Sus scrofa: one gene and its partner. The protein of the gene in region 1 purifies or fractionates together with the protein of each later gene. This does not show direct contact. Links are inferred from orthologs where the notes say so. Each region holds a gene or a part of one and is shown on either strand. Other genes may lie near its edges. The genes, in order: tumor necrosis factor receptor superfamily member 10B-like and CFLAR.

Evidence for each region.
Region 2: the proteins of tumor necrosis factor receptor superfamily member 10B-like (region 1) and CFLAR purify together in Homo sapiens (affinity purification with western blotting, with the first as the bait; 5 studies listed by BioGRID). This does not show direct contact. The link is inferred for Sus scrofa from reciprocal best matches to the Homo sapiens genes TNFRSF10B and CFLAR.

Annotation. Positions count from the first base shown.
Region 1 is NC_010456.5:7,258,331-7,261,109, reverse strand, and holds part of tumor necrosis factor receptor superfamily member 10B-like, read left to right. Parts: exon of another isoform or gene 1-189; intron 190-766; coding exon 767-1,080; 3' UTR 1,081-2,779. UniProt on the Homo sapiens protein: Receptor for the cytotoxic ligand TNFSF10/TRAIL. The adapter molecule FADD recruits caspase-8 to the activated receptor.
Region 2 is NC_010457.5:104,813,132-104,816,955, forward strand, and holds part of CFLAR (CASP8 and FADD-like apoptosis regulator), read left to right. Parts: intron 1-1,183; coding exon 1,184-1,233; intron 1,234-1,909; coding exon 1,910-1,991; intron 1,992-3,824. UniProt on the Homo sapiens protein: Apoptosis regulator protein which may function as a crucial link between cell survival and cell death pathways in mammalian cells. Acts as an inhibitor of TNFRSF6 mediated apoptosis.

The DNA of each region.
Region 1 (2,779 bases):
AATTGGTAGAAAACAGGAATGTAATAGGTCCCATCAACAATTTTTGACCATTATTACATTTTGAGATGAACGTTTTGGAATGTATTGAGTCCGTGCCATATTTTATGGAAATTAGTATAACTTGTTAACATTTTACGTTTTCCAGCGTAGCTGTGAGAGAATATGAACTTCCTTCAGCGGCCACCTTAGGTACCTATGCACAGTGGTGTGCACTGCGTTGCACACGCTTGCCCTGCATCCCCAGTACAGTCCCACGAGGCGGGCGGCCTCGGCTCCACCTCACATGTTAGCGTCTGTTTGTCCCCATCCAGCTCAGGAAGGCCGAGCTGAGTGTGAAGCCAGAGACCTTCCAAGCTCCAGGCCTTGCTGGGGCCCCAGTGCAGCTGGGGGCCCTGAGTCTCACGAGAGGGGCAGGTGCCACCCTGAGTCTCCTGAGAGGGGCAGGTGGCCCCCTCTGCCTCCTGCCACTACTGCCTTCTCCCTCCATGACGTCCGTTTCCCCTCCCCGGTGGGCCCTTCTCCCTCACTTAGGACAGGATTCTCTGGTGACCTTGACTCCCTACGGTGTCCTGGGGACATAGGGGGCCCAGGCAGCGTGTGGCCTGATTTCTCTGTGGCTGGGAAGCAGGTCAGGGATGCAGAGCAGCAGCTGCCTCAGCAGGGGGAGCTCTTCAGGTCCCGCCCTGGGGTCCAGGCCTGCCCGAGGGTCCTCTGCCCTTTCTGAAGCTGGTCCCAACCTTCTCTCTGTGACTTTCCCCCAACCTAGGCTTGAGGCAGTGCTTTGATGACTTTTCCAACATCGTGCCTTGTGATTGCTGGGACAAACTCATGAGAAAGATGGGCCTCAACCAAAATGAGATCCTTCAGAGCAGAGATCGCGCCCGGAACACCGGGGATGCCTTGTATGAGATGCTGGAGACCTGGGTCCGCCGCAAAGGGCGGGAGGCCTCAGTCAACGACCTCCTCGATGCCTTGGAAGCACTGGGGCAAAGATCCGCAAAGGAGGAAATTGAGGACAAGCTTGTGGACTCAGGAAAATTCGTCTTCAAAGAAAGTGAAGCTGGTGCTGCTGTGTCCTGAGTGTAAAAGGATCTCTTTATGAAACCACAGCTTCCCTACTTTATGTTTTTTGCTGGAAAGGGAAGCATGATTAGATACCAGCTTGAAAGAAACATCAGGTACTTGGACCAAATACTTGAATGAAGTCTACCTTCGGATATATGCCACACTTGTAAAGTTCTAGAACTTTTTGGTTAAACTAGAGTAATTTTTGAGAAATGTCATTGATAAGCGATGGTGGAAACATTTATGAATATGTGCGTGAATTTACTGAGAGCTGATTTAGGATATCATTCTGTTCAGGACACTCTTATCCTAACAGAATTGCACTTTTTACTTGTACTTTTTATAATGTGAGTTCCATTTGGATTGATATGCTTATTCTTAATTGTCTAACTGTACTATGATATTTTATGATATACATTTGTCTATTTTTATATTTTTGTACGTATTTGTATAAATGCACAAAACTTTTTGGAAATGCACTTACTCGGTTGCCTGCATGAGTTCCTAAAATAGGAGCAAGCAACAATAACAAAAGAAACCCAAAGAAGGAAGAGGAAAAAGCCCATCGCTTTAGGAGGCATCATTGAGTTCAGTTCTCCCTCATATGGGAGTTTAACTTGTCTAGGAGTAGATAACCAACTTTTAAAGTGTCCATCATTTCCAACTGATTATTTTATAGATATGGGATTATTTATATTATTTATTGGTAAATGTTTACAAATGAGCAGAGAGTGGGTCTGTTATACACAGGCTTTATTATGTTGAGGTATGTTTCTTCTATGTCCATTTAGCAGAGAGCTTTTTAAATTATCATTATAAATGGATGTTGAATTTTGTCACAATCTTCTGCATCTGTTTTGATGATCATATGGTTTTTATGCTTCAGTTTGCTGATGTGCTATACTATATGGGTTGATTCGCAGATATTGGAAAAATCCTTGCATTCCTGGGATAAATCCCACGTAATCATGGTATAGATTCTTTTGATGTATTGCTGGATTTGGTTTGCTGATATTTTGTTGAGGAGTTTTGCACATATGTTCATCGGTGATATTGGATGGCAATTTTCTCTTTTCGATGATATCTTCGTCTGGATTTGGTATCAGTTTGATGCTGGCCTCGTAGAATGAGTTCAGAAGTGTTCCTTCCTCTACAATTCTCTGGGATATTTTGAGAAAGATAGGTGTTAATTCTCACGATGTTTGGTGGAATTATTCTGTGAAGGCTCGTTGGGGTTTTTTTTTTATTATTTGGTTTGTGGGTTTATTATTATCATTGTTATTATTACTGATTCAATTTTGGCTGGTCCCAGAAGAGGGTCTGAGAACAGTTTGGGGCCACAGCCTGTAGGATTGTGAGGTTTTTTGCACTTAGTGTCTGCCCCCTGCCCTCTGGAGGCTGTCCAGAGGCTGGTGTAGGCTTCCTGGAGGGCAGGGCCTGTGCCTGCCCACTGGGGAGTAGAGCTGGGTCTTGGCCTGCTGGTGGGTAGTGCCAAGGCTTGGGTGGCTCTGCAAAGTCTTTAGGCAGTCTCTCTGCTGATGGGTGGGGCTGTGTCCCAGTTCAGTTAGTTGTTTGGCTTGAGGCATCCCAGCACTGGTGCCTAAAGCAGTTGCGGGGGGAGGCAGGTCTTGGGAGTTAAGAGGGAGGATCCCACAATGGTGCCAGCCAGCACCAGTGTCCACCAGTAGGAGCTCCAAAGTATGGCTGCTACCAG
Region 2 (3,824 bases), on another chromosome or scaffold:
GATATCCTTGACATTTTTGCACACTTGTTCTATTATTTCCTTAGGACAAACTTCTAGCAGCAGAATATTGGTTTAAAGGCTAAATGTCCTTTAAAAACTGTTTCAGAGTTCCCGTCATGGCTCAGGGGTTAACGAACCCAACTAACATCCATGAGGATGTGGGTTCGATCCCTGGCCTTGCTCAGTGGGTTAAGGATCCAGCTTTGCCATGAGCTGCGGTGTAGGCTGTCAGTTACAGCTCTAATTCAACCCCTAGCCTGGGAACCTCCATATGCCATGGGTGTGGCCCTAAAAAGACAAAAAGACCAAAATAAATAAATAAATAAAACTGTTTCACCTTACATAGCATTAGATTTGCAAGTGCTTATTTCTCCCAAACCTTACCGATACTAACATTTTCTTTGCCTGTCTTTAGACATTATTTCTCATTTTTGCAACAATCATATAAATTAGATGTTTGTCTCAGATTGAAAACAAAACAAAACCCCTCAAAACTCTGAGACTTGAAGAGGAAACTTGCCCAAGATCACAGAACTTGTTGGTAACAGTGCTAGGGTTTCACCCAGCTCTTTATGGCTTCAAAACTGATGATTTCTCTACCTCCCCAGGGGCTAATAAAGTCATTTTTTATTTAACAAGGAGATAAGGCTCAACTACATTTGCTAAGCCCACTGTCCCTTATCTTGCCTTTGATGTTTTATTACATGATCTCCAAACATCACTGGACTAAGAAAACATGGCCATCTGGTCTGTAAGTGGAAAACCCACAAAAGCTTTCCCCTCTCTGGGTCTGTAAGGCTAGTCCCTAGAGGCGCTGTCCACCGTTTCAGCACATGCAGTAAAGCTATTGGTATTGTTGGTTGGTAAGTTCATTAGATTCTCCCTGTCAGGTTAAAAACTCACCAGTCACCTGGTCCTCACCTGGAGAAAGGCCTTCTTTCATGTCTATTTAAGTAGTTTTTCTACATAACCCCTGTTAAGCAGGGGGACTTGTGTTTTCTTATCAATTAGGTTTTTCAGGGTGAGGTTGGAAGCTCGGGGCTGAATATAGCTGGGGACAGAAGCGATAAGAGGGGGAAGAAAATAGGGAAAGAGAACAGCTGTGACGTAAGCTCAGCCAGCATGGGAGCAAGCCTCGCTCTCCTTCAGCTTTTTTAAATGGATTTTCTCTCTCATCCCCCAGGAGACCCAGTGAAGACATCCATTCAAGAATCTGGGGCATTTTTGCTTCAGGTACAGAATAAATGATCTGACTTGGTATTGTATTGTAAGCACGGTATCTATGGTGAACACTGAGGCTTTAAAAATAGCTGTCCATTAAGTATTCTTTGTGACAACAATAGGACACTGAGAGGGCTATTCTGGGAACGCTTCTGTTCTGAAGGGGAACCTTGGATGTAACAAAGAGAGCGATGTTGAAGTGGATTGCATTAGTGAACATTCAAAAGTAGAATTTTTCTTAGCTGAGATTTGCTTGAATGTATAAGTAGGTGGTGACACTCAACCTTGACTTGTTCTGACTTTTTCTTCTGCTGGTACCTCTTCTCTGTAAGGAGAGGCAATAGAAGGCCTTTTGTACTGGTTAGGAAAGATTTTACTTGTCCAACATTCGGTTACTGTGGAAACATATGACCTATCTTTTCTCTGTGTTTTAAATTATCTTTACTCCACAAAGCTAAGACATGTGTAAAAGAGACTGCACTTTTCATTAAAATGAAATCAGAACTGAAATAGCTTGTTGATGTTAAAGGGAAATGTCAGCTGTGCTGACTTCAGCCTGTGTCTATTGAGTGACTCACCTGCCAAAGGGAAATTCAAGGAAATCCAAAAGTAGAGATGATACGGGGGGGGACCTCGAGGAAACAGAACAATGCTTAGAGTCTTTAACAATCGCTGCTTTCCTTTCCAGCATGTACCGGAAGAGAGATATAAGATGCAGAGCAAGCCCCTAGGAATCTGCCTGATAATTGATTGCGTTGGCAATGACACAGGTAGGTGCGGTTGTACCGGATGGATTGATGGATTGATGGCTGCCGTCCTCAGAGTGACCAACACTAGCCGCTGCACCAAACCACTGCTGGAATGTGGTTTCACACATGAAGGGTAGTTTCTCACGCATGTCACAGTCCAGCATGGATGGGGCTGGGGAGCTCTGTTTCATGTGCTCATTCAGGGGCTTCAGCATCTGTGGTCTTGGAGTTTTCCACTGGATCCTTTGTGTCTGGCTGGTGGATGAAGGAAGTGTGCGAGGATCTCACAAGACTTTAGGGACAGGCCAGACAGTGATATGCATCAGCTCTACCCACATTACTTTGGTCTGAACTCACCCCTGTGCCCCACCCAACCGGAGCAGACCAGGAACTTGGTCAAGCAGTGTGTCAGGAGGAAAATGAAAGGGAGTTGGGGAACCACGTAGTATTGTCTCTGGCACAAAGGTCTACTTTGTGAAAGTTGTGAACTTTAGTCCTGTCTTTCCATGCCAGATGCTCTGGCAGGTAGGAGCTGTGGGACTTTAAAATGGAAGGTTTTCTGGGCTTAAGTATCATCAGATGCCCCCTAGTTTTGCCTAGATTGACTCTGAAAGCTTTCTGGGGAAGATTGAAAATAGGACACATTTGTGTTCGCTTAGAGGCAAGATGTCCCTTAGTTCTGCCACCCTGGACTTTTGTTATTGGCCTGAGCCTGTACTTACCTGTGGGTCCCCATTGTTTGGCTCTGAGTTGATTGTTTTGTGTGGTCATTGTTGGATGTCTGACTGGAACTGAATCAGTCACTGGTGATGCATCAAAAGAGAATGAGAAGAGCCTAGATGAGTGCATTTGGTTTAATTATTTATCTCTTGCTTGAAAGGATTGATTGTTATATTTCTACCGTTTTGCATCTTCTCAGCATTCTCTTAGAATGAGTCAGAGCTGTCTTTGAGGCTCACTTAAAATGTTACCACTGTGAGTTTAATGGAAAGAGAAACTAAGAGAGGTCAAATTAGCAAATATTAGGCTGAATTTCCCAGGATTTCGGATGTGATCTCATTTTGTCATGTCCTATATATGGTTAGATGTGAAAACTGCTATCTCCTAAGCAATAGATGCGTCCTTTATTTATTTATTTATTTTTTTTAAAAACAGTTGAGGCAGAGTTGAAATGGAAGATTTGTCCTTTCTGTTTTAGCTATTAAGTATCCATATAAAGGGGGGTGGGGGGATGTGCTTGGGTTGTGGGTTGGAAATCCTGTGAAATTGAATTGTGATGATCATTATGCAACTACAGATGTGATAAATTCATTGACTAATAAAAACAAAGAGAAAAAAAGTATCCATATGAAGATGAGAAAATGTTTCCTCAATGAGTAACTTCCTTCCCTAAAAGAGATTGTGTAATTATCCTTTTTCAGTGGTAATCAGCTGTAATCAGTTCCGTTTCATATTTTTAGCAGAAAGTTTCCAACTGGACTTGGTCCAGGGTGTATATCTGTTGTGTGAAGAGAATCACACAGATAAAACCTGTGAATTTGTGGTTAAAATCCAGTGTCTGTGTTTGCTTCCCTCGCTGAGTGATGGGCCTCTTGCTAGCAGGGACTGAATGGGTATTTGTATTTTTCTGCATTAGAGAGTCGTGATCGGAGTTGAGCCCTAGAATACAACTGTGTGGGTTTGAATCTTGGCTTTGTTGGGTCCTAGATTGTTATCTGGGGCAAGTTTTCCAGCCTCCCTGTAGTTCAGTTTCTTTCTTATAAAATGAGTTAATATAACAGAACCCACCTTACAGGGAAGTTGGGAGGAGGGAGGGAGTTTGCCCTTGCAATGAACTTAGGGCAGGGCTTGGCA